Coturnix japonica: one gene and its partners. The protein of the gene in region 5 interacts with the protein of the main gene of each other region in a pairwise test. Links are inferred from orthologs where the notes say so. Each region holds a gene or a part of one and is shown on either strand. Other genes may lie near its edges.

Region 1 (4,299 bases), on a different chromosome or scaffold from region 5:
AACCACATGGAAATGAGCGATGCAGGAGCATTTTTCCCATGCTCTTGCCCTCCCTGGCTTTTCTCCATCACCGGTCCCTGGTGACTGCCATTAGAATGAGCTGCCCCAAACCCTTCTTCCTTCTGTTGCTAAAGCGATTCAAACTGCTTTCATAACTTCATCAGCTGCATGGCACTTTGCTCACTATTGATGTGACAGATTCAGTTCCCATCTCTGAGATCACAGAATATCCCTGGTTGGAAGGGACCTCAAGGATCACGAAGCTCCAACCCCCCACCACAGGCAGGGCCACCAACCTCCACAATTGATACCAGTCCAGGCTGCCCAGGGCCCCATCCAACCTGGCCTTGAACACCTCCAGGGATGGACGGGGCATCCACAGCCTCTCTGGGCAGCTGTTCCAGCACCTCACCACTCTCACAGTAAAGAACTTCCCCCTGACATCCAACCTAAATCCTCCATCCTTCAACTTCAATCCATTTCCCCTTGTCCTGCTGTTATCTGCCCTTTCAGAGTTGCCTCCCCCGAGATCATCTTCCAAACAACAACAGAAAACCTCAGTGCAACAACAGGCACAGCTGCATTTCCACTGGGTGGCACAGCTCTATCAGCAAAGAGCTTCTTCTGTCACTGTGACATGACTAATGCCTACCAGCAAAACCTCATCTACAACAGGAGTCCTGCCCACATAACTGTAACTATCCAACACAGCTACGCAGATCAAATGGAAAAGAAACCAATGACAGCTTCTACTGCAGCTGCTCCATTTAGGCCTCAAGCACCAGCAGTTTATAGCTGTCCCTTCTCCATTTTTAGGGTCTAAAAGATCATCTCAAAGATGCCACACTCGAGCACTGTGCAACCATTTAGCCTGACCTGCGCCTTTACCCATTAGGAGAATAAATGGCAGTCAGACCGAAGATGAAAAGCAACAGATTCATAGTTAGCAGCTGCTTTCGATGCGGCGATCTTTCTGTTCTTTCCTACGCCTGCTTTGACGGAAAAGAAGGCAGAAGGAGGGTTTTTAGGCTTCAGATTGTCAGCACTGATCTCATCCACAATGACAACCACAATGATGCTCGTTAGCGCCTTTGCTATAAATTACCCACTACCAGAAAAAACAATTCAAAACACAAGTCTTACCAGTTTCCAAGACCTGTAAAATATACAGCCAGAAGGAATTGTAAGCTGTTCTGTTCCTCCATATAAGACAAGCTGTTCCGTTTTACAGCTGCCCCCCTTCCTAAGATGAGACCTGATCACTTCAGGTGCTTACAAACAGATGATGCCCAAACCAGCGACTAGAAATCACTGCTGAGAACTGCAAGTGTCCATTGCCAAAGCTCAATCCTGGCTACAACTTACGAGCAAGTTTTCCACCCAGAGGGTGGTGACGCACTGGAACAGGTTGCCCAAGGAGGCTGTGGATGCCCCATCCCTGCAGGCATTCAAGGCCAGGCTGGATGTGGCTCTGGGCAGCCTGGGCTGCTGGTTGGTGACCCTGCACACAGCAGGGGGTTGGGACTGGGTGATCACCTCCATCTTCCTCCTATCAACGCTATATACTTGTGAATTGTCAGCTAAACACGAGCACTTAGCAAAGGTCCTCCAGCACCGGGTTGTTTTTAAAGCAACACCAAAACTCTGTGTCATCTGCCAGTATCAGCCTCACCGATGACGAACTAAACTCCACACCCTTCTGCAGAGATTCCTTTCCAGGAAGCTTTTCAGGATACAGCCTCAATAAATGGACGCGGTTGGTACCTTTTCATGTTTGAATTCACACTGTTAAGGTCTGCTTGAATGAACTCCAGCTTCAAAAATACCTACAGTGCCTCTCCTCTCATCGGTCCCACCTAAGGAAGGGAAGCTTTGGGATGTGCCTTTTAAAAGAGCTATTATTTAAAGAATAAAGGCCTTTTTGTTTCCTACATCCCCGGACTAAACGGTTGAACAAACAGCAGGAGGTGATTCGTGCCTTCCATGGGATGCACCTCAAAATACCCCTTCCCTGGGAGATAAGCAGCTCCCCAGGTAGATCAGCAGCTCATAAGCAGCTCATAAGCAGCTGATAAGCAGTCCAGGGCTCTTCAATAGTGCACTGTGCTCCCTTTGTCAGTGAGTCACCACCTGAGACAACGAAACGACTTCTCACAAGCTACAACAGATTGGGGACATCACAGAACCACAGAACTGTAGGGGTTGGAAGGGACCCCTGGAGATCATCGAGTCCAACCCCATCTCTTCAACCATTTAAGAGGTGGGTTTTTAGGCCCAACTCAGTATCCCTCCCTCCCACTGAAGGTACAGACGCAATAACCGCTTGCATTTCTCTCCACGTAAAACGCTTCACAGTTATTTATACATCATTTCTATACCCATCCACAGGCTGAGCCCAGATCCCCCCAGCACACCCCCCGGCCGCAGCAGGTCGCTCCCCTCCCCCCGAGCCCTATATCGCTGTTCCAGCCCATCCAGCTCAGCTCCTCGCCCCTCCCCTCAGCGCCGCGACCCTCGGCACCGCCCCGCTGCACAGGGCCTGGATGGGCACGGCCCAGCAGCCCCCGGGGGCGGCCCTATGGCTGTAGGGAGGGGCGCTGCACCCCATAGCTCCGTTCCTCCATCCCCACCCCTCATCCCTGTGTGATGGTGCCCGTGTTGGGGCCGGTACCTGCGGTAGAAGCGCAGCGCAGCACAGGCCGGAGTGGAGGCAGCGGGCGGCCCGCAGCACCACCAACACCGCTACGGCAAGGAGGAACAGGAACTGCGTCACACGGCCCGCCCTAACAGCGACAGGAAGGGCGAGCACCAGAAGCACCGCCCGCTGCCATTAACACCGCCCCCATGTCGCCATTACTTCCTTCAGCCCCCACCCCACACACACTGTGCCCTACCCAGCTGTAGGAGCGACCCCCTGCTGTGTGCAGGGTCACCAACCAGCAGCACAGGCTGCCCAGAGCCACATCCAGCCTGGGCTTGAATGCCTGCAGGGATGGGGATGGGATGGAACAGCGAGATCATCAAATAAATGGCTTTGAAAATCACAGAATTATCAAGGTTGGAAAAGATCTAGAAGATCATCTAGTCCAAGTATTACCAATACTTCCCGCCTAAATCATATTCCTCAACACAACATCCAAAAATGACGTTGTCCTGAGTTAATAAGTGCTCTTTCTCAAGGCAGAAGCTTGTTGAAGTAAAGATAAAGTCATAAAACTGGTTCAAAGTGCAAATGCGCCCTATTGAGGAGATGAGATGAACTGGATGGAGCTGGAAAGGAAGCGCTGCTGCTTGTTGTGAATCACAGAATGACCCGGGTTGGAAGGGACCTCAAGGATCATGTAGTTCCAACCCCCTGCCTGGCAGGGCCACCAAACATACACCTTTACTAGATCAGGTTGCCCAGGGCCCCGTCCAACCTGGTCTTGAACACCTCCAAGGACGCGAACATCCACAACCTCCCTGGTGCAGCCTGTTCCAGGGCCTGACCACTCTCCTAGTGAAGAACTTCCCCTAACATCCAACCTAAATCTTCCCTCTTTTAACTTAAAACCATTTCCCCGTGTCCTGCCATTATCAGCCCTTTCCAAGAGTTTACCCCCTCCTGGCAAGTAAGTTCCCTTCAGGTATTGAAAGGCTGCCATGAGGTCACCCCGCAACCTTCTCTTCTCCAGGCTGAACAAACCCAACTCCCTCAGCCTGTCCTCATAGTTGAGGTGCTCCAGCCCCCTGATCATCTTCCTGTCCCTCCTCTGGACCCTTTCCAAAATCTCCATGTCTTTTTTGTACTGAGGGCTCCACACCTGGACACAGTAAGTTATGAGCAGGTGAGCTGTCATGGCAGACACTGACAGTCGCTGGTGTTCCACTATGGGTGCCTTGTGACAAGGAGTGGATTTCTTGGGGTACATTTTCTTTGCACGCTGGAGCCCTGATCACACATCAGTAGAGCCCTGATCACACATCAGGCCATTGCACGAGCTGCTTTCAGAGCTCAGAGCTGCAGGTTGTGGCTGGCGGCAGCAGGGACAGTTCCCTTCACTTGTTCTTCAGTGAACAGGAATGAGAAAATTCACATCAGTGAAACCCACCTGACTGTCTCTTCTTCCCCACCCTCTCCCTCCCTCATGGCTCCAGGCCTTTCGCAATCCTCTTCCTGTTCTCCCCTCCCCCTGCCCAATTGCTGACACTGTTTTCTGGTCCGGTGTTGCAATCTTCAGTCTCTCAATGAGTTTTGTGCCGTTTGCTGCTTGGCTTCCAGCCACGGATCCCACTGACAGATGATAACATGAAATAATG
Region 2 (3,152 bases), on a different chromosome or scaffold from region 5:
TCCCCACCCCTTCTCCCCCCTCTGTGCCCCCCAGGAACGAAGCGCTGCTCCAAGGGGTTCATGGACTTTATTGGTTATAGCCGAGTGCGGTGCTGGGGGAGCCCAAAGCTGGGGGGGGGTGGGGGGGTGATGGGAAGTGGGGGGTGGGATGAGAAGGAAGGGGTGCCCCCCTCCCCCTGCAGGGCTCCTCCAGCCTTAGTGTTGTGGGCGGTGGAGTCTTTCATCAGGACTTAGAAAACAAGAAATGAGCGATATAAAGTGTGTGTGTGTGTTGGGGGGGGTGGGGAGGGGGGCAGAAGGGTGGGGGGAGGACACAAGGTCAGAGCCCCCCCCTTCCCCTCCTTCCTCCCCCCCCCCTTCCTGCCGCCCTTTGCTTCATGCATGGCACATTCTCTGTTTCGTTTTCTTTTTTATTATTATTATTATTTATTATTATTATTATTATTCTTTTTTTTTTTCCTTCTATTTTTTTTTTCTTCTTCTTCGTTTTTTTTTCTTTTTTTTTTTTTTTTTTCTTTTTTAGCTTCAAACCTCCCCAGTGAAAAATATTAAATATTCAAGGTAATAAAATAGATTATTATTATTTCTAGACTATTATGTTCGGCCCGGCCCAAGGAGCGTCACCTGGGATACCCCTTGAAATAACCCCTAGACCACTGCATTGCAGGCAAGGCAAGGCACTTCCGCAGGTGATCCAGCTCCGCTTGCAGTCGCTCTCGTTCTGAGACGATCTTTTGCTTCTGGGTCCTTAATTCCTGTAGGGAGGAAAGAAAAGGGAACACGGTCAGGGAGGTGCAGGGGGTGGGATGGACATAGATGGGATGAACATAGAGGGGAATGGGGAACTGCAGGAGGATGGGGACCTTAGGGGAACATTAGGGGAGGAGGGGACATTAGGGGAGGATGGGGATGTTAAGGGAGGATGGGGACCTTAAGGGAGGATGGGGACCTAAAAGAGGATGGGAACATTAGGGGAGGATGGGGACATTTGGGGACGTTAGGGGAGGATGGGGACATTAGGGGAGGATGGGAACCTTAAGGGATGATGGGGATATTAGGGGACAATGAGGACCTTAAGGGGAGGATGGGGATGTTAGGGAAAGATGGGGACATTAGGGGAGGATGGGGACCTTAAGGAAGGATGGGGACCTTAAGGAGGATCGGGACATTAGGGGAGGATGGGGACATTTGGGGACGTTAGGGGAGGATGGGGATGTTAGGGGAGAATGAGGACCTTAGGGGAGGATGGGGACATTGCAGAAGGCTGGGGATAATGGGGAGACTGCATGAGGACTGGGACCATTGGAGGAGAATAGGGGGGATTGAAGGGGGATGGGGACACTGCAGGCGTATGGGGCCGTTGCAGGAGGATCAGGCACTACAGAGGATGGGGGTGTTTGTAGGACAATGGGGACAGTGCAAGAGAATGGGAAGGTTGCAGGGGATGGGGGCAGTGAGTGAAGATTTGGGGGTGCTGCAGGAGGATGGGGGAGACTGAAAAGAATGGGGAGCTGCAGGAGGGAGGATTTGGGGTTAATGCAAGAGGATGGGGGTATTGCAGGAGGATGGGGACCTTAGAGGACAATGGGGACCCTGCAGAAGGATGGGTGCCTCTCTGGGAGGCCAGGGTGCCATACGGAGTCCAGGTGCCCCCCCAGAAGCCCCACTCACCGCCATGCTGTGCGAAAGCTGCTCTGCTGTCAGGCTCAGGCTGTAGTGCTGGGCCTCCAGCCGCCGGCACTGTGTCTGCAGCACTTGGCGCTCCAGGTTTTGTTCTGCAATGCACAGGGATGGGGTGAGCATCTGAAAGCCATCACTCCCTGCCAGCCCCAGGACAAAACCTCCTCCCTTTGCCAGCAGGGTGGGAAAGGTCTGGCTGTCAAAGCCTGGGGGCAGCAGGGCATGACGTGATGCTTGGTGACATGGCCCTGTGGCTAACACCCCACCAAGCCCCATTCCCCAGTCCTTACCTTCTATATGTTCTTGGTAAGCTTCAAAAATTGCCTCGATCCCTTGCCACTTGGGCCTGGGGCACTCCTCTTCATCTTCCTCCTCATCTTCCTCCTCCTCATCCTCAGAGGCCGAGTCACGGCGGTCCCGTGGCAGCGGTGGGGCGAGTGCCCTGTGCCCTTCAGCCGTGCCATTATGTGGGGCAGGAGGGCGGCTGGAGGCCTGAAGCTCAGGGATGTTGTAGTGGATGGAGGCGTCCAGTTTGTGGTTCTGCTCCGCCGTCCCCCCTGCAGGCACAGAGTGTCAGCCCCCCTTCCCTGCTGACTTTTCTCAGCCCCACAAATGAGTTTTGCTGCCTGTGCTGTGTTTTCCCAGCACATTTTTGCCTCTCCATCATCCTTCCCAGGGATTCCCTGGGACTGGGGTTAACAAATGCCTTTTCCCACAGTGCCAACCCACAGATTTCCTCCCTATATCCCCATGGGGTCCCTGCCCCGGCTCGGTACCTTTGTGCTTTTGCAACGCCTTCTGTGTGGACTGCAGCACGGACTCGTGGAACTGGTGGGCAAACTCCTCAGCAATGAAGGGCTCCCAAGGTTTGCTTTTGCCATTCATGCTGTGGGACAGCGGCACAGGGATGTCCTTGGGCAGAGGGCCCCTGACGTAGCTGAGGATGCTCAGTGCCTTCTTCCCCGTGTGCCCATCGCTCAACCGGGGCTTCTCAGCTGGTTCCTTCACCCTGGGCAGCTCTGCAGCTCTCAGAGGCTCCACTCTGCCCGGCTCCGATGGCTTCTGCACCTCAGGCACGGAGGTGACAATACCCACAGGCTTATCGGGGTCCAGCAGCAGCGGTGGCTCTTGGGGTAGATAAGGAGAAGTGTTGGCACAGTGGTGCCCAATTGGGCACAGGAGGTGAATAGGGAAAGTGGAATGGAGGAGCTTACCAGCATTGGGGCCAATGGGGCTGTCCTGCGGAGAGCTCTTCACCACCACAGCAGCCGGCGTGGGCTTCTGCTTCATGGCCTGCAGCATCTCCACCAGCTTCTCCTTGTCTGCCGCATGGGAAGCTGAGGTTTAGTGTAGCCTCTGCTCAGCCGGGCACCAGGCAGCCCCGCGGCACGGGGACGGGGACCCCCACCCCAGCACGGGGCATGGCGTTACCTTTCCTCTTTTCGGCGCTGATGTGCGTGAGGTTGAAGATG
Region 3 (4,150 bases), on a different chromosome or scaffold from region 5:
GGAAGTGTTTCCAGCAGTGTTATCTATTGGGAGAGTCATAGCAGCACTCTTAATTGGTTGAACTTGAACTGACAACCTGAGCATTGTGAATTGATGTTGCAAGCTCAATAACTTTCACTATGAATTTCTAAACCTTAATATTTTTCTTACCCACTCCAATCTGATGGAAATCTAACGTAAGTCTAGACATTCCTAAGCGACACAACTTCATATTCAAACTAATGCTTTCCAACATTCATATAGCACAGTGCTTTTACACATTGATTCAATTAACTAACTATTCTTTAAGAATACATTGAGTTCAGCTCTCAAGAGAAAATGCAAATGATCACATATTGAAGGAGTAACAGAGTATACAGAAGCACATATTTAGAAGAGAAAATTACTCTGTTTAAGCATCTGGGCGTATAACCTAAGGAAACTGTATCTCCAGTGTGATTTACATTAGAAGTGTTCTCTGATTCTCTTGTAGAGAATGAAGCTTTGCTGTTCATACATTATCCTTTCTAATTATTATTGAGCAACATGTGGTCAGTGCTACATTAGATAACTCACGCAATGACTATTTGTAAATTAAACTCAGCTGTAAATCATTTCTTGTGAACAGCCCTCCAAATCTGGCAAAAACCTTTAACAATTAAAAAGAAAAGAAAGTGAATACACAGTCAAGTTCTTAAGCTAACTGCAGTTATACATTAAGAGTCACAAGTATTCACATAGGAAATACTACGTCTGAAACACTGACAAATGACCTTTGTCAACTAATCTCATTCCAGTTTGGTTCCCATATGATCCTACCATGTATACTGATTTATATTCAATTTATTCTTTAATTTACTGTGTCTTTGAAAAGGAAGGGAGAGAAAAAATAGGCTGAGAAATAAATGTAAGGGGGTATCAGTGACTGATCTCACAGCAAAATCACTTTTTAACACATTTGTTGACTTAGTTTTAGACAGGCAGTTTCCTTTAATATGATGATGTGCTTAGACATTGAGAAGTATTCCTCCCACTGGGGTTATATAATTGAATGCTTTTGTACTAAGATATATATACAATCATCTAGTCGCACAGATAACTCCTGACTGTGGGCAGAAGTGCGACTTTCCTTTTCCCCACGGCAGAAGATTGTTTTTTTGATCCTGCAGTCAGTTCACAGCCCCAATTCCATCTCACTGTCCTATTTCATGCACATCTCTGCAAGATGACCACAGTAATTGATCTCAGCTCCTGACTACTTTAGAGATTGTTATACCAGATTTTTTTCAAGCTTAAAAGCTACATATTTCTTTCTTAATCCTCACATGTGCTTTTGCCCTTAATTAAGACTTTCTTTAATGAAATGAACTCAAAATGGTTTACAGAGCTGTGAGCTACACATCTATCACTTACCCCCAGGTGCAGGTCACAGTGACACAAACCCCATGTTATTGTAAAGAACCAGGTGGGATTAATCAGGATTGACAATGATAAAGCTTAAAGTACCACTTGAGCCTTTTAGCACAAGACTGTCAAGAGATATTCTTTTCTTTCTGATATGGTGCAGTGAATGTTAATGAGAAATACCCAGTAGGTTTTTCATAAGGGGAAAAAAAAATAGGAGACAAATAGACTTAATATGAAAAGAAAGCACTGAGTGTATCTCTTTTCATGCCAGAGTTGTCATATTAATAACAGAGTGAGCACGTACCTTTCTGGGTGTTTTTTGCTAACTGTATTATCAGTATTATTGGTGGTGGGTTGTTTGTTTTTGCTATGATCATGAATGAGAGAATACTCTAAACTTATTGTGAAGATTCTCCCTTCATCCCTTTGCTTGGAATCAGTCTCTACAAGTACAAAAAGGACATATGGGTTAGTAGAGCTGTGGAAGGCCCTTGGAAGTACCTGAGGTCAAAAACAACAATGTAATTTTGTCTCTCAGAAATGTAAAGACAGATCCTTCCTCTCTTATTCTTTCCCTGTCCTAGGGCACCCTCTAGCGCTAAGACAGCAGCTAGTGTAACTTCAGACCAGCACGGGACGAATGCTGGGCATGTCTATAGACACACCCTGACACCTTTGGATGGCCTTCCAGCCAGGCATGCCGTGTGTCTGGCTTTTATTCACACACAGAATTTTATTAAAGATAAATCCACTCATAGGACAGAACATATTTTGGAGTTAATATACAGGAAAGTGCTTTGGCATCCATACTTACAGTGCTGTGAGGTTGCATTGGAGCCTTTCCAGGTATGGAAGCAAAGACATGGCAAACACCTCATATAACTGCTGTATAGACGGCTTGGGGGTAGTACAGCAAAAAATAATGCCAGCATTTGCGTTCTGTATATATGTGCTTTAAGACTGACTCTTCCTGAGGGTCAGCAGTGACCTAAAGAAATCCAGAGCAAGGCTCCCACAGAACAGTATCGCAGCTGCACACAGCCACACACATGAGACTTACGTTATAAAAGACAAAAAACCCACCGTGCAGGAAGCAGGTAATAAGTACTTTTTCTTTCTCTATCTGTTCCTATGGGAAATTGTTTCCAACCACAACAACATGCAGATCTGCTCCAATTATTCTAAACAAAAATGAATTTTCAGTTGGATGATATATTTTATTTGGCAAACATTTCTATCTTTAAAGGTCTTCCGATGTTACAGCATTAACCTATAATCGATTTTTGGTTTCACATGACAAAAACAGCTTCTTAAACTTAACACAGAACTTACCTTTATGTTTCCTTCAGGCATTAGACATTCTTTTCCCTTCAGCCTCACAGGAAAAAAACAACAAATATATATATATATATATATACATATGTGTGTGTGTGTGTGTGTGTGTAAGCAGTATACTTCAGTAGCAGCTATTTATTTGTCTGGCACAACATCACAAGGACATCTTGGAACACAAAGATTTCAGATGCAGTGCTTATCCAGTAAATCCTCTAGATAGATATTGTGTTTATATTTGATCTGCAATACTGAAAAGAAGGAGTTAGAAGTCTGATCTTGCCTATGCTTGGATATCAAGCTAAAACAACTAGAATTAGACTGAAATCAAAGAAATTACCCACTAACTCATTGCAGTTTTATCATAAGGCTTCTTTTTTCCCTTGAAAATTTCACAAAACTAGACTGCCAGGCTTCAGAAGATGCTATATTAAGTGCATATTTCTGTTCATAAAGGATTTGAAGATCTTCCTCCAAAATAACTTTTGGCAGCGTGCTTCAGACAAACATATATTATGATATGCAGTGCATATTATGATATGCAGTGCATCCAATCATCTTGGCATCTTCTCTCCAGAGTTTGGTTTCTAGGGGCTGCATCAGAAGAGGGCAGAGCAGCAGAGCAAAGGGGGAGATTATAAGAAAATAAGAAATAAGGGGAATGATTTCAAGCTCTAGGGACATTGGGAAGTTTTTCACAGAGAGAGTGGTGAAGTACTGGAAAAGGATGCCCACAGAGACTGTGGATGCCCCATCTATGGAGGTGTTCAAGGGCAGAATGGAGGGGGTTTTGATCTAGTATTTGATCCAGTGGTTGGCAACCCCACCTGTGGCAAGTGGTTTGGAACTTGATGATCCTTGAGGTCCCTTTCAATACAAGCCATTCTACTATTCAATAATCTCACATAAACAAAATGAATGGCTCCTTTAGCACAGATCAGCAAGAATGTCCAGTGTGGAAGACAGCCCTGTCACATCAAACAACACATCATTTAGCTACTGGCAGAAGAACAAGATCTGAAGGAGGTGGCCTGTGCAGTCACACCAATCTCAATAACTTCCTGGGATTGACAAAAAGCCCTCCAGCTACCTGAGACCATAATGGGAATAAAAGATTATAGATTTAAAAAAGAGAAAATCAGATAAAACATTTGAATAAGAATTACAAACATTTAAGAGTAGATGAGCAATGTTCAGGACTCTTAGCTGAGTTGAACAGCTTCATTTACTGTTCTAATCTTTCTTCAACAAAACATTAAACCCTTCTCAAAAAAGAAGGGCTAGAAATCAAAGACAGATCAAGATCATGCACATTAACAGGAACTGGGAGGGGAGGAAAAAAGCAAAATGTTTAGAAGAATAAAGAAAAACGATCATTTTCAATGGACAAATTCATTTACGACATTCGAATGTTCAGTCTTCATACCTCAAA
Region 4 (3,500 bases), on a different chromosome or scaffold from region 5:
TAGTGCCTCATTCCCACTGTCCATCTGTACAAACCTTAAAGCTGGATGTGTCTATGAAACACAGCACTTTGGGAGTACAGTTTGGGTGCTTGAAGGATGCTTCCTTCTACTACGTCTCTTATATTAATGCTTCCCAACTACAACTCTTACCTCCGGTGATGGTGTAGCATAAGCTGTATAGGGAGGAGGGGCTGAGGAAATCGCTGTCTCATCATACATCACGTCAGATCCAACGTAGCCCTGAATGCCATGGAAAGATAGCAGACAACACCTTTTTGTGCAGACAGCCAATTAGAGGAGGAAGGGGTTTAAAACTTAATGACACCAAGAGAACATTTAGATCTGCTGCATGTTAAGAAAGCAGAGAGTGCCTCATAAAGCTTTATATGCTTTAATATGCTCAACAGATAATGTTCCTATCAGCTCTTCTAACTGGACTACAGAAGGACTTTTGATGGTGTTTTATGGACATATCCTAAAGGAAACTTGTGGTAGAAATTCTAAGAATTGTTTGAAACACATTGTTAAAAGCACTATATTAAGAGGCAGGTATTTCTAATGCCTGAGATGAAGCTCTATGAGTGCTCAATTCTCAGCAGTAAATGTATTCTGTTTTGCTGCAGGAAACTCTATACAGGCATAGGACATAAGCCTGCAAATGTCTTTAAGTGACATAGTTCTCAAAGCTAGGATGATCATCTGGTTATTCCAGTGAAGTTATGAGGCACTACTAGAAGCTTTGTGTTTTTGAAAGCTGTATCAAGCACCAGCAAATGGACTCAAAGCCAATTTCCTGACCAAGCTCAAGTCCAGTTGGAGAGCTGTAATAGCTCTGGAAAGTACTGATTTCATATATATCTTGTGCAGACAGCTGTCTGCCCTACTTTCAGTGGCCGGGGTCTGCCTTGGCTGAAGAAGTTGAGGCACTGGCAGGTTTTTAATGTCACGGGGCATAGTATCAGGTGGATGAAAAACAAAGGCTCCTGAAATCAGGAGTCACTGTCTCACATACAACAAGATAAATACACTAAATCCAGAGCAGACAGATTATGAGTACTGTGTCCTCTGCATGAGGAATACTCCTTAACTTCTCATTTAACAAAATAACACACATAGTGTAGCTGTACGCTGGCAATTGAGTCCAGAATAGTTTTGCAATGACATGTGTTTGCTTTGGGCATCTAAATTATATCATATGACAGATGTGTCAGTGAAGAGGCAATTTTAATGTGACCCATCAAACACTGAAACAAGCTTCTTCAAAATACTGCATTTTCCCACTGAAACATCTCAGGCTGGTTCAATCTATTCATCTAAGGACAGACAGGGCTAAAAAGCATTCTGGAAGGCAGTCTGGAGGAAGAAGATCTTTACAGCTCCCAGAAGATACCACTTCTGGTGAGCTCTATGACTCACAGAGAAATTCTTCTGGTTTCTGAACTCTTTGCTAAACACAGCTAGCATGCTGAAGCAGAGGTAACGTACTCCTTGGCATACCTACGCTTCATTCCAGGTACCTCTTGCTTTCTGCCAAGAGCCATCCTGCTCTATAATGGATCTACATTAAAAACATCTTCCTTTTTAGGTCAAAAGTGTAGTATACTGATAGTAAGCTTCCTTTAGCACTTGGTAGACCACAAATAGAAGGAAAAGAAAGTCCATTTTCACTGGTTACAGATTTACTTTTTGCATAAAGCCTCAGTGCACACTTCCTATACAGACCAGCTTCCCACTTATTCTCACTCAGAGAAATTACTCTCAGAAATCACTCAGTCCGTATTTGCCTCACTTTGGCTGCATGGATGACATGCAGGTGATCCACACTCCTCCCCCAGCATATAAGCTTTAATCATCTTCATAACCTTCTAGTAGAGGTTTTCAGTATAAAGTAATGCACTTACTGCATTTGTCCTGGCATCCTGAAGAGCAATTTTCCATGCCCTGTCAAAAAAACAAAAAACGTTTAGTGGAACACAGATAAAAATGAATGCCTCTTATTCATTTTAGTACTATGAAGAAAACTATGTTAGGAACTCCAGGTAATGCAGGAGCAGAATTTCAGATGCACCATGTGTCAAAGCCTAATGATACTGTAAAATGAATGCATCAAAGTGTTACACCAAGACTAAAAATAATTATTTCCTTAGCAGAGCTGAGATGGAGTAAGAAGGAACAAGAAAAGGACCCTGATAAGGAACACATCTGAAGGCCTTTGCTGCAAGTCCAACAGGCAAGTGATACAAAGCCATGCTTAGGACAAAATAATAGGAAGAGATGCATCAGAAAACTTGTATCTTCTTCCTGAAGAGTTGCATCTGTGCAGCTTGAACAGAAGGCACACGCACTCCCTGCAGATACTCCCATGCTGTATGGCTGACAGCGTGCCCTACAACTATGAATACTTGGCAAACACTGGTGATAGATGTTATCCACCTAAACACAGTCAAGGTCACAGTACTGGAGTACTATTCTTTTTAATGACTGGGAATTCCTTGGGCTACGCAGGGTCTACTTCAAGGAGGAGAGAAGTGAAAATAAAACCTATTCAGAATGTTTTGCATTAGCCATATTACTAAGATGCTTTTACTCCTCTCATCCCCCAGTGTTTCCAGTGACTAAACTTGCAGTTAGTTTGCAAGAACTGCATCTATGTGAGTTAAACAACTCATGGAAGAGCCGTCTTTTTTGTAGCTGAAATCCTGCTTTAAAATGTTCTTGAAATATATCCCTGAAAAACTGAAGGAAGAACAGTAAGGAGAGGGGAAAAAAAAAAAAAAAAAAAAAAAAAGATAAAAGAAGAAAAAGTAGCAAAAAATAACATTATTAGGTAGACTTACAAACAGTCATCTGCACTTTCTGCACAGAGGTTGATGGTCTTTCCATCCCGACAGACAATCTGCAGTAAACAGTCTCTCTGCTTTCCCTCCGGAGGCTGGAAATCTGAGTTGGGGAAAAAGAAGAGATAAGAAGAATTTACAACCAGAATTTCACTGTCCCATTTACAAGAAGGGCGACAGCTTATGCAAAACTCCTGACAAAATAAACTGTGGCCAATTGTAGCTGCTTTCCATGACATCAAAACAACTTATAGTAGGACATAACCTGCTCTCTTTAGAATACATCCTGAAGGTAACTGGCTTTGAACTAGCTCAATAAATGCAACTGTCTTACAGCTGAACCAACCTGTACCTAGCTGTAAGTATTGCCCAACACTTATGTTGGGCACTGATGCACATCAAATGGAGTACTAATAAATGCCAGAGCTGAACTTTGTAACGCTTGAGAAAAATCTGCTAAGGTTCACCATTTTGTATCCCATCTCTCCCTCCAGCCAGCACTGTAATTTCATCAGTAACACTCCATGATCAAACACACAAGCCTACTGCAAACATCCTGGTCTCTCATGCAAGCCTGCCACCTGCATGTAAGGTATACTGTCCTCATTGAGTTGTAAAAGGAAGTACCAAGCACTAACCTAATCTGTCACATGGTGATATCAC
Region 5 (4,115 bases):
CTGTTGTCCCCCAACCCCTTGGAGATCCTGGGAGAGCTTGTTGAACGCAGGAGGTTGGTGATGGTGGATTTAGCAGAAAGCTGAGCATCGCAGAGAGCTCTTAATTTCATCTCTCTTTCTCTGTTTCCAATCACTGCTCTGTATATGCTCTCAAGTCCCTCTGTTTCATCTAGCAACCAGTCCCTGTAAGAATGTGAAATATAGGGATTCTGTTGAGAGCTTGACATTAGATTGAACTCATTTTCTTGACTGCTTCTATGCCTTGCATTTCTGTTTCATTTATGCTCCGTTTAAGCCTCGAGTATTCCTTCTCAACCGGAATGAAACCTACCTCCAGGACACTGTTCTTCTCCAAAGAACCACATAAAATGGGAAAATTAAAACAAAATCTGAACTTAACACACCTATTTGGGAATAACTGAAGTTGGGTGATGGCGTTTCAGACTGGAAGCCATGAAGTCCTCTAGGACTTACAGTGGGGTGGCTGCCAGGGCTGAACAATGCTGTGTCTCTAAGGCACAACTCAGTGTTTGTAGTGGTTCCCTACTCAAAATCCTCCTTTAAATTCCACGTTGCTCTTTCACAGCCAGGTATGTTCAATAACTTAACGTATCATCCATTTACTCTCCTCAGCTTGAGGGGAAGTGATGCTCTGTGCATGCACTGTACAGATACATATATAGTACATAAATGGATTGCTAATATTAGTGAAATCTGGATAGTTAAATGTAGCTAATTATCTCTAATCATAGGATCACCATAATTGGCAGGATGCTGCTTTATCTCCCTATTTTTAAAGAACAGATACCTTAAAATCCTCAACAAACCTATACTATGGGCATAAAAATAGAAAATTGCTGTCATTTCCAAAGAAAGCTTATTTTCTACAATGCTTTATCCCATCTTTCACTGGGATTCCTCTCTCCATTGGTGGTTGCAGCCACCTCCGAGGCTGGAGGTGGACACCTGACCTCACCTGTAGGGATTTTAAGGAAGTTCCCTTGAATTCTGTACAGCGATTTGGTTTCATTGCTTCAGGTTTGGTATTTTTGGAAGGTTCATTGACTCAGGGGGGTGTCTTTGAATAGCTGGTGAGCAATGAACTGCACTGTGTGAGTGTATGCTGAGGGCACTTCTTTGCTGAAGAGCCTGTTTGCTGAATGCAGGGAAATGCTGCTGGCAGAAAGGGTCAGAGCAGCTGCCCAAAGTAACTCAAAGATCAGCAGGAGAACAATGAATCATTTCTCTGACCCTGAGGAAGGTGCTTTAGCCACTGCGCTTTGCTGGCTGTTTAATTTCATCTTAGTTGGAGGTGTTGAGTTTGTTACAGGTCCTTGCTGGTTGTCCCAAATCGTTCTTATCTGCTTCCTCAACCCCATTACAGTGGCGTGAGGGTGGGCTGCAGGGTGGGCTGCTCTCACTGCATTAGATTAATTGCTAAAAACTGAACCTATATATTTCTAATGGTGGCTTTGCTTATGTCGTTTAATAGTTCACAGTGGTTTATACCTTATCTCTTTGCTTGGACTTCCAAGCAGCTGGCATGACCAAGTTACGTGGCTGAGCTTGTGCTAATTGTCAAGATGTTTCAGCAGCATAAGTTGACCTGCTGCTGTAGGCCAGTGCAAGTCCATTGGCTTCACTGGTTATTCTTGGGTTGTTTGGTTTCACTTTGTGCATTTATTCTAGGCCAGTTATTACTGTTATTGTTATGGATATGGAAGGGAAAGGAAAGGAGTCAGGGCTCCAAGATGTACTCCCTGGGTTTCACAGTGACACAGCATAGGGCATTTCCCCTTCTGATCCTCCACGTCTTCAGCTAAAAGCATCGAATTATCAGCTTTCTCAATCTGTGATGTTAGTCTTAAAAGATACGACAGCTGTTTTTCACTGTATCAGGCAAGATGTGTGACTTAGGCTTTAAGAAGTGGACACGAGCTAATAACTTGCTGATTGATAGCTGGACATGTAAATTTCACTCTTTTTCTACTTCAGGAGCATACAGTAAATATTATCCCATTAATCTGAAGAGCATCCTTCCCTCCCTTATCACCATTTGTCCCGCAGAACATGATTTGGCATAATTTTTTCTGTGCTAAATTCAGCTTCTCTTTGTAAAGATCAGCTGTTTACAGTAGCTTCCTTATAACACTTTAATTTTCGATTTTGTTCCTTTTGAATGCTGCTTTCACTTCTTCCTGTAAATATTTTGATGTGTGTGTAGTTGTTTTGCTTTAAATGTTGTGGGGAAGCAAAAGCAGCAGCTGCTTGTGGTGCTTCAGATTTTCAAGTAGCTGGCTTTCATGGGACAAGCTCTCCCAAAAAGACTGGTTATATTGGGACAAATGGGGATACTCTGTCCCATTAAGAGGCTGCCCAAAGCCAACACAGCACCCCTGTGCTCCAGCTCTCTGTTTCTAGGGGTTATGAGGGCTCTGTTGGAGTCAAGCCCCTTGTCCTGCAGTGCTGGTGGTCACTCACCCGCTGTGGGCACCGTTCTTGCTCCATGGGGGTCCCTGTGGGTCCATGCAGATGATGGGCTGAAGCTCCTCGGGGGGGCTCTGCATCCGTTTCCAGATCTCATGGCAGGCCTTGTCCAGCCCGTCTTGGGGCGTGTTGTCGTGGATCCAGATGTGCCGTGGGTATGGCCCCAGTGGGAACGGCCCCTCTGATTTCACTGCTGGGGCTGCAAACCCATTTATGCTGGTGAGCATCCTTCAGCCTCTATGCATCCAGGCTATCTTCTTGAGTGGTGTTTTGTTTACATGGCAAACGGAAAGAAGAGCCGTGGCAACCACGGAACGCCAGGTCCTGGCAGTTGATAACTGAAATATCTGCTTGTCCTTGGCACAGCTGGGAGCTTCCCCTCTCATAAACTAGATCCCTGTCTTTCCAGGGTCAGCATTCAGCTGTCCTGCCCCCTTCTTTCTGTACTGGAGCTTTGCCTCTTCCATTTAATGCGCAGGTGATGAAGCTCCAAAGAGCGCATGGCTCTGCTCACTCATGCCTCTGCCCAGATAAATGTTATTTTCTCCCTACCAATAGTGATGATATGGTTAAGAAAGAGTAAAATGTGGTAGTTAGTAAGATGTTTTGCATTCCTATGCTGGATGACTAGTGGTGAAACTCTCTCAATTCCTGGCATAATTCCCTAAGTGTGAATGGTTCTGTGGTTCCTCATTCATCACCAAGGGTTGTGTTTGTGATCTTCATTGGGGGGAAGAGAGAAAGGAGAGTCCAAGGGACATGGGTTGGGGTTTGTGCCTGGTATTGGCATTTGTTCTATGTGCCCTTGCCAAGCTCTCGGGTTCTCAAAGTTCACTGTTTGGGCAGGGAGGAGAGATGAGTTGCAGTGATAGATGTTGGCTATGGTGATGGATTCTACGTTCATCACACTGCATTTAGCAAATAAATACTTTTTATTCTTAAAGAGAGAGTAAGCTTTCGTTGCTAGGTGTGGGGCCACGCTTAGTTGGGAGCCCTTCATTTGCAATAGGTATGGCGTTATTGCCCAGGAATAAAGTGGGACTGTGTCTCCTCAATGACTCGATTATGCTGGCTGCTTGCTCCCGGTGCGGGGCTCCAGACCTTGGCTCGGCTGTGCTCTGCTGTGTGCAGCAACCCAGTTGCATCTCCGGCTACAGCCTGGGGGTTGGGGGCCGAGGTGGATGGCTGTGTAAGGGAGAAGCGATGTATAGAGCTGTCAAGTGTGGTACCCTGTTCTGTGATCCTTTTCGATTTGGATCCGTGCCTTTGAACAATAAGGTCTATTTGAATAGGACACTGCAGTTTAAGCAGACATAAAGCAACTCTTTCATGTAACAGCGCTGGTTGCCTTGGCTCTTGGCATTGGCTCACAGTGTAGGCAGTGGAAGGATTCAAATGCAGAGGGGACACAGGGAAAAGGGAGCGAGAGAGAGGCTGGATCCGAGGGCGGAGGGGCAGATTTGCGAGCCCTCGATATCATTTGTTTTTAAGCTGTCAAATAAGCTCATTCAGGGCAACCGGAACGAGCCCCAAGAAGGGGGTTTTGCAGCAAAGCAACTGCAGCAAAAGCAGGGCGGGGGTTGGGGGCGGCCCCGAGCCGGGCTCGGCTGCTTCGCCCTGCTCCGTGT
Region 6 (4,081 bases), on a different chromosome or scaffold from region 5:
TCCCATCCCATCTTCATCTTCATTCTTATTATCATCCCACCTTCATTCTCATTCCCATCTCATCTTCATCCCCATCCCATCTTCATCCTCACCCACATCCTCATCCCATCCTCCCCATCATCCTTATCTTCATTCCCATCCCCATCCTCATCCCATCTTCCTCTTCATCTTCATTCTTATTCCATTCCATCTCATTCCTCATCCCCATTCCCATCTCATCTCATTCTTATTATCATCCCATCCTCATCCCCATCCCATCTTCATCTTCATCCTCACCCACATCCTCATCCCATCCTCCCCTTAATCCTTATCTTCATCCCCATCCCATCCCATCCTCATCCTCATCCCTATCCCACCTTCATTCCCATCCTCATCCCATCCCTATCCCATCTTCATCATCCTCACCCATCACATCCTCATCCCATCCTCCCCTTTTCATGCCCTTCATCCTTACCTTCCTCCCATCTCCATCCTTACCCCATCTCCATCCCCATCCTCATCCCATCTTCCTCTTCATCTTTATCTCCACCCCCATCCCATCTTCATCTTCATCCTTATTATCATCCCATCCTCATCTTCATCCCCATCCCACCTTCATCTCCATCCCATCCCATCCTCATCATCATCCCTATCCCATCCTCATCCCATCTTCATCCTCATCCCATCCTCCCCTTAATCTTTATCTTCATCTCCATCCCATCCCATCTTCATTTTCATCCTCACCCATCCCATCCTCATCCCATCCTCCCCTTCATCCTCATCTTCATCCCATCCCCATCCTTACCCCATCTTCATCCCATCTTCCTCTTCCTCTTCATTCTTATCATTCCATCTTCATCCTCATCCCCATCCCATCCTCATCCTCATCCCTACCCCATTCTCATCTTCATCCCTATCCCCATCCTCATCCCATCCTCATCCCATCTTCATCCTCACCCCCATCCTCATCCCATCCTCCCCTCCATCCCATCCCCATCCCATCCCCCCCCTCACCCCATCCTCATCCTCATTCATACAACGATGCCCCGCCCCCTCATTAAGCCCCGCCCCCAGACTACAAGGCCACGCCCCCAATCCTATTAGCCCCGCCCCCTCTGCTCCGTTCTGACACCTGATTGGTGGCCGCTCCTCGCCCCAAACCCTTCACTTTGCGCATGCGCAGCGTGGGGTGCGTCACCTCCAGTGGGCGGGGCTTAACGTGCAGGGCGGAAGTGGGTGGGAGGGCGGAAGTTAAACAAGGCGGAAGTAGGTGGGAGGGCGGAAGTAGTAGGGGCGGAAGTTAAACGAGGCGGAAGTAGGTGGGAGGGCGGAAGTTAAGCAGGCCGGAAGTAGGTGTGCGGCGGCGCTCTGGCTGCCGGTACCGACTCGTTGGTTGGGCCTGGAGGCCGCGGCCTGCTGTGGCCCGGCCCGGTCCGGAGGTAAGGCCTGAGCCCTGCGACCTACCCGCCCCCAGGCCCACCCCCATCCCGGAACCATGGAGAAATTCGGTATGAACTTCGGAGGAGGCCCGAGTAAAAAAGAACTGCTGGAAACCATCGAGTCGCAGAAGAAGCAGCTCCTGAATTACCAGGCCAGGCTGAAGGACGTGGTCATCGCCTACAAGAGCCTCATCAACGAGAAGGAGGCCTTGGAGGCCAGCCTGAAGGTGTTATCGGCGTCCCACGAGGCCGACATTGGGTTAAATGGGGCTCAGGCTCCATTTGTGGCCCCCTCCAGCTCTTCCTTTGCCTCCAGCTCTTCCCTTCCCTCCAACTCTTCTTTCCCCTCCAGCTCTTCCCTCCCCTCCGGCTCTTCCCCTCCTTCCAGCTCTCCCCATGTTGATCCCATGGATGATAAGAGCTCAGTTCACAGCGAGGACAGCATGGGAACGGCCGCCAGCGTGGACACAACAACCAGTTTGGGCAGCACGAAGGGCGAGCAGGGACCTGAGGATGAGAAACACGCAGCAGCTGTTAAATCAGATGAGGGGAATGGTTCCGAGGTCGGTACTGGTACCAGTAACAGCAATGGGGACGTGCCCTGTGCTGCCATTGAGGCCGATAAGCGGGTGCTGCAGCTGAAGAGCCAATTGGCCACATTGACCAGCGCCCTGTCCACGGTGACGCAGGAGAAGTCCCGCATGGAAGCGTCATATCAAGCCGACAAGAAGAAGATGAAGCAGGACCTGGATGACGCCATTAAAAAGGCGGAGGATGAGACTGACAGGTTGGAGACGGAGCTGAGGGTTGTACAGGAGCAGCTGGCAGAGACCAAAGCTCGACTGATCACGCAGCAGCACGACCGAGCCCAGGAGCAGAGCGACCACGCTGTTATGCTGAGGGAGCTGCAGAAGCTGCTGCAGAGCGAGAGGGCGTTGAGGCAGGACGCTGAGCTGAAGCTGGAGGAGACCAGGGAGGCATTGGCCGGCCGGGTGTGCATGGCTGATCGTGCTGAGGGCTACGAGCTGCAGATCAAGCAGCTGAGCCAGGAGGTGGAGGAGCTGAAGAGAGAACTGCAGGCTGTTCAGGAGGAGAGGAAGAAGCCGGACCCCCGGGTGCAAGACCTGCAGGAGGAGATGGCCAACCTGAAGAGCCACTTCCAAGCGCAGCTGCTGCAGGAGATGAGGAAGGTAATTCCCTGCTTGAGCCCTAGAGCAGCCCAATGTAGGGGGTACCAGAGCAGCAGATGGAGGCTTGAGGAGCCCAAATTCTCCCTGTGCCACATGCCACAAAGTCCGAAAGATTTCAGATAGGAGAAAATACCATAGTTTCATCTGATGGGATCATATACCCTGAGGAAAATTAAAGCTGTTGGCAATGCAGTGTATAAATCAGTTAACCACGGGTGGTTTAGGAGCAGTCTTTGTGGGAGTTACGTGGTGAGCATCGCTTGGTTCCGAGCAGCAGCTGGATTTGGGAGGAGAGCAGTGGCAATGAGCGTGCTCTCATCATAAATGCAATGCAAGGTTCGGTTCGGACTCTCTTAAAGGGAACTGACCTCCACATCCCCCTGCATGGAACTGTAATAGGTGAGCGGTGAGGCAGGTGGGCGATAAGGGCGGCCTGCTGAGCGAGGTGCTGGGCTGTGCATCTTGCTGTGTGTCTCTGCAGGCTGTGGGGCAGAGGGATGGAGGGCTTTGCTGCTGAGTTGGCAGCTGGAAGGACACCAGCATGGGATCCTCATTTCCCCACAGTCTGGAATAAGTTTTCAGCTTTCTAATCTGAAGCCTCTAATTATCAGCTTCGGGCTGATGGGATGCGATTAACCTTGTTTTGGAAGTGATACCCAGCAGCTTCTGTACGACAGGGCTGAGGATGGGCTGATCCCAGCTGTGTTTTGGCTCACAGTGGGGACTGAGGAGTGGTGCCACCTTCCACGTGCTCTTTAGGAGGTCAGATCTCGATGGTGATAGAAGCTGTGAGCTCCAGTGTTTGCTGTAGCTACTCAGAGCCCACTGAATTACGTTAATATTGGTGTAACAAAGCTTAGCATTTAGGTACAGTTAGGTGTAGGAAAGCTTTAGGGCACACTCAGACATGAAAAAATCCCACAGTGAGGTGAGCTTTGTGCTTCATGCCCTGCACATGCCTCCAGCAATGCACATTAATGCTGCTAACAGCAGGGAACAAATACAGAAACGCACTCGGTTTGTTTCATCCTTGAGTCTCTGTTTTAAAGATGGGCGTGTGAGAGTGTGGGGTGGGGGAGGATTGTTTGGAAACTAGGGAAAGGGTGTCCCTGTGCTTGCTTGGAGTTGTTCAGAGCAGAATGAAGGCCTGTGTAATTGCAGGGTGGTCTAACACCGCTGCATTTCTTTGCTTACAGACTGCACAAGCAGAGGAGCAGCTCCGGCAGCACGCCCAGATGGAGGAGCAGCGCGTGGCCGACCTGGAGGGGCAGGTCTCTGAGGTGTCAGGGCTGCTGGGCACCTACGAGAAGGCCAAACAGAAGGACCAAATGGTCATCCAGAAACTGAAGGATCGCATCGTGCAGCTGGACCAGGAGAACAAAACCTTGGCCATCGCAGCCTCCAGCCGATCCCCTGCTGATGTGAACGTGGAAGAAGCCAATCTGGATGTGAACGTTCTCAAGGATAAGATGG
Region 7 (3,500 bases), on a different chromosome or scaffold from region 5:
CAGCCAGATCAGAACTCTCTGCAAAACTGGGTATCTACGTGACAAAATTCCCTTCTAAGATTGGTTGCTGAGGATAACATTATATCCTGGCTGGTAAGCCAATACATCTCTCACAAGCATTAGGGATTCTTTAGGAAAGGAGCCAACTCCAGTTGGGTTCATGGAACAACTGCTTCTTTTGTATGCCTGCACTGCCACCAGGCATGACTTTGGGCTGGTTCCAGCCTCAGCTACGTGACTCTTCAAACTGACCAAGGAAAGAAAGAAAACACACCTCCTCCACCTTAACTGAGCCCATCGAGTGTTCACTTACAATTGCATACATTGCAGCTCCTGTGGGAAATCCAGGCTGTGGATTAAAATAACTGGAAAACTTCTGTCAGAAAGAGAATAACTTTTTAAAGAGAAACCTCAGTCTGAAAAACACTTTTTGGATAGTTTCCGAGCCAGTTTTTCCTCCACGTCCTGTAAAAATGGCTCTCAGCCCTCAAGGATGCAGAAAAACAATGGTGACCAAAATAACTGTTCTCTGGGGGCAATGAGCAACAACGCCAAAGAAGGAATAGTCAATAACCACTATTTACCTTTAGGAAAATTATCTTAATAATTTGGCATATATATTTATATACACATATCTCTACACATATATGCAGGCATACTTGGCTGGTTGCAGAGTGGTCTGTCACAGGTGTGAGCTGCACATACTGGACTTGGATATCGCTGCCTTGCAGTGGGGATCCATCAACTCCTCCTGATGCAGGCTCGGCAGATGCAACAGCTATCAGCTGAGCACCCTGCAACACCTGCAAGCAGAGCAAAGGAGAAACAGCTTGTGAACAGGCACAGCCAGGAACGCATTAGGAAACATCGACCTGAAAACAGATGCAACAACCAAACATGATTCAACAGAAACTTGAGAAAATATGTACATCAGTAGCAGTTTAAATAATGTGGGTCCCAAGGAGGTGGTACACACATGGAAGATTCTCACATAAGATTCTCACTGCATTTTGCCTTATGAGACCTGTATTCCCTGGAAGGGTTAACGGGCACCACACCTGGAAAGGTTTGGCTCCCTTATGATCCTAAACACAAAGTAAGTCATCCCCTATCTGTATCAGCACTAGCAAAGGAATAAATCATCCTGGTGGCCTGTGCTAAATAGGTCCATTTTAATTCCAACTCATTCTAACAACAGTTAGCACACTAAGTCACCAGTCCAATTACCACGTCTATATTCTCTGAGTGCATCCAATTCCCTACCTGCAACCCAAGCAAAAGCAAGGCTTGTAGACTTAAGAAGCCAAAGAGAGGGAAAAACCAAAGCACTGATTATGCTGTATAGTTTGTAAGCATGAGATGGTCTGTTTCACAGCTTGCAGCTATGAAAACTGATCTGTTTATTCTGCCAGCCGGCAGATGAGCGCAGCAGCTCCATCAGCTCAGGTTCCTCATAGGATGAGCTCTGCAGCCACAGCACTGAACTGGGGGAATCTGCTTTAGAAACCCCTTCTACTTGGTTTTATGATGGCAGAAAGAGAGAGGGTGGAGGGAGGGGGTAACAAAAGGCAGACACTGAGTTCACTTCTAGCATCCTCACACCTTCAGGTTGAAGATCAGAGGGTAGAAGCCAGGTTTGCTGGGAGGAAAAAAAGGAACTTGTTCAGTTTTGCTTGCTTGCTGCTGTCTCTTTGCACGGAAATATTGCGCTCCCGTGGCTGGGAAACATTTCAAAAGAGGTTTTTTTGGCCAACTGCTTCCAACGAGAGATAGTGGCTTTCCTAAGGAGTGGGCTGTTACCGCCCTCATGATAAATGACACCTCCCTAAGCGCTGCAAAAGATAATTGATGAAGGGTTCATAATTCTGCTAATGATTATTGCAAAGGGTAAGTGGGACAGACAGAGCAGTCAGCGCTGCTGTAATGTCAATAGCACACAGCCACCCCCCAGCTAATGTGTTCACTGTTATATAAATAGAGAGACGGAGCCAAGATACTTATTCTCACAGCCAAACACATTCAACTTATGACAATTTGTTGCAGCAATGTTTATCTTCCCATTGTACACGAAGGTGTAGATTTACAAATTACTGCTAATTAATGCTCGCAGCCACTGACTCTACACATCTTCATGCTGGCTGGTTGAGGCTGGGTCCCCTGTTAGCCAAAGAGCAACAAAAGAGCAGATGCTTCACCCAAAATCGCTTGCTTAAATGCATCCCTGTGACGAGAGCGACTGTAATTTACTACTTAAGTACAACTCAGAATAAAATATACATATGTGAACAACAGCAAGTCCCCCGATCTCATTTCAAAATGCAGCCAAAATACACAAATTCCGTTTAGGTTTCTATATGCTGTGAGCGCTGTTTTGTTTTTAACTACCTCTGGTATTTGAACCACAGCGCTCAAAAGATGCCTTTCAAACAGAGGAAAGAGAACTGAGAGCAAAAATAACATTCTGAACAAAAGCTTCCCTTACCCAAGTATGATTTCCCAGCTGATGGGAGGGTGGGTGGCCGTGAAGGAGTGGGCAGCACAACCCCTCCCTGGGGAGTGTGGGAGGCCAAGAGGTGACCCCTAGGAAGGACCTTTGGGGTGTTGGCAGGGTTTTATGGGGATCTTGGGTGTTCCGAGATACGGTCAGCACTGAGCTGCAAAAGGATGCTGCGTTCTGTTTTTACAGGAGCAAGCAAAAGCCTCTTGTCCTGCACTATTTACTTTGGAACGACATGATACGCCCTGTCAGAACTACATGGCAGTCTGTCCTATTGATTATCCGCAGCTCTAAAATGCATCTTGTCTCATTAACTTCCAAAGCACAAACTTCAGGATGACTTCAAGCAACCAAACCAGCCCCTTTCATGCACACAAATTGCTTTGACAACAAAGAAGCCTACAGCTGCTAACAGCACCAGCTTCCCTGTCTTAGGATGTGTAAAAGGACAGAGTTCATACAGCAGATCCAAACGGATCCAAACAGACCCCCTCTAATCAGGGAGAGCAAGCTTACCAAGATAAAAGCCCCAGCCCTATGACTTCAATCTGCCTCATTTCATATTGTTTATATATTGTTTATATATAATATATTCGTATTCACATTCCATTGTGTTTGCCAATACCACAGGTTTTATAGGGAGGCTGCAAAAATGACAGATATCAAGGGATCAATGGCTTTAAGTAGAGCAGTGAAGGAGTGGTAAAACAGAGACCTCAGCAATAGGGGCAGGTGTGAGGATATGGCTTTTCTTTGGCTGCTCACTCGGCTCCCAGACCAACACATCGACTTTGTGATTCTTACCTGCCCTTGACCTTAAAATAAAGGAGTTGTACCACAAAAATTAACAGTCTGCCCTGAAAATGAACCTCTGAAATGAGCTCTGCTGGGCTCCTCTAACATCCTGCCTCGCTGCTCCAAAACAGGTAACAGAATATGGTTAAACCGAAAAATAATAAACTTTCCTTCTAACAGAAGGGATTAATTCGTGCTCTGGACACCC

Evidence for each region.
Region 1: the proteins of C23H1orf94 (region 5) and MAPK1IP1L interact in binary tests that used the Homo sapiens proteins (3 or more experiments, as listed by UniProt). The two-hybrid records come from large-scale screens. The link is inferred for Coturnix japonica from reciprocal best matches to the Homo sapiens genes C1orf94 and MAPK1IP1L.
Region 2: the proteins of C23H1orf94 (region 5) and GSE1 interact in binary tests that used the Homo sapiens proteins (3 or more experiments, as listed by UniProt). The link is inferred for Coturnix japonica from reciprocal best matches to the Homo sapiens genes C1orf94 and GSE1.
Region 3: the proteins of C23H1orf94 (region 5) and T-box-containing protein TBX6L interact in binary tests that used the Homo sapiens proteins (3 or more experiments, as listed by UniProt). The link is inferred for Coturnix japonica from reciprocal best matches to the Homo sapiens genes C1orf94 and TBX6.
Region 4: the proteins of C23H1orf94 (region 5) and PLEKHB2 interact in binary tests that used the Homo sapiens proteins (3 or more experiments, as listed by UniProt). The two-hybrid records come from large-scale screens. The link is inferred for Coturnix japonica from reciprocal best matches to the Homo sapiens genes C1orf94 and PLEKHB2.
Region 6: the proteins of C23H1orf94 (region 5) and GCC1 interact in binary tests that used the Homo sapiens proteins (3 or more experiments, as listed by UniProt). The two-hybrid records come from large-scale screens. The link is inferred for Coturnix japonica from reciprocal best matches to the Homo sapiens genes C1orf94 and GCC1.
Region 7: the proteins of C23H1orf94 (region 5) and BANP interact in binary tests that used the Homo sapiens proteins (3 or more experiments, as listed by UniProt). The two-hybrid records come from large-scale screens. The link is inferred for Coturnix japonica from reciprocal best matches to the Homo sapiens genes C1orf94 and BANP.

What each region holds. Positions count from the first base shown.
Region 1 is NC_029520.1:51,141,109-51,145,407, forward strand, and holds the start of MAPK1IP1L (MAPK-interacting and spindle-stabilizing protein-like), read right to left. Parts: upstream 2,801-4,299; 5' UTR 2,672-2,800; intron 1-2,671.
Region 2 is NC_029526.1:15,698,913-15,702,064, forward strand, and holds the end of GSE1 (genetic suppressor element 1), read right to left. Parts: coding exon 3,112-3,152; intron 3,018-3,111; coding exon 2,895-3,017; intron 2,808-2,894; coding exon 2,457-2,807; intron 2,238-2,456; coding exon 1,971-2,237; intron 1,776-1,970; coding exon 1,672-1,775; intron 756-1,671; coding exon 621-755; 3' UTR 501-620; downstream 1-500.
Region 3 is NC_029530.1:7,255,187-7,259,336, reverse strand, and holds the start of T-box-containing protein TBX6L, read right to left. Parts: upstream 2,801-4,150; 5' UTR 1-2,800. UniProt on the Homo sapiens protein: T-box transcription factor that plays an essential role in the determination of the fate of axial stem cells: neural vs mesodermal. Acts in part by down-regulating, a specific enhancer (N1) of SOX2, to inhibit neural development.
Region 4 is NC_029524.1:1,001,502-1,005,001, reverse strand, and holds part of PLEKHB2 (pleckstrin homology domain-containing family B member 2), read right to left. Parts: intron 2,941-3,500; coding exon 2,838-2,940; intron 1,942-2,837; coding exon 1,902-1,941; intron 241-1,901; coding exon 151-240; intron 1-150. UniProt on the Homo sapiens protein: Involved in retrograde transport of recycling endosomes.
Region 5 is NC_029538.1:4,086,562-4,090,676, forward strand, and holds the start of C23H1orf94 (uncharacterized protein C1orf94 homolog), read right to left. Parts: upstream 2,801-4,115; 5' UTR 2,715-2,800; coding exon 2,482-2,714; intron 184-2,481; coding exon 1-183.
Region 6 is NC_029516.1:516,954-521,034, forward strand, and holds the start of GCC1 (GRIP and coiled-coil domain-containing protein 1), read left to right. Parts: upstream 1-1,281; 5' UTR 1,282-1,474; coding exon 1,475-2,608; intron 2,609-3,804; coding exon 3,805-4,081. UniProt on the Homo sapiens protein: Probably involved in maintaining Golgi structure.
Region 7 is NC_029526.1:16,147,893-16,151,392, reverse strand, and holds part of BANP (protein BANP), read right to left. Parts: intron 804-3,500; coding exon 660-803; intron 1-659. UniProt on the Homo sapiens protein: Controls V(D)J recombination during T-cell development by repressing T-cell receptor (TCR) beta enhancer function. Binds to scaffold/matrix attachment region beta (S/MARbeta), an ATC-rich DNA sequence located upstream of the TCR beta enhancer.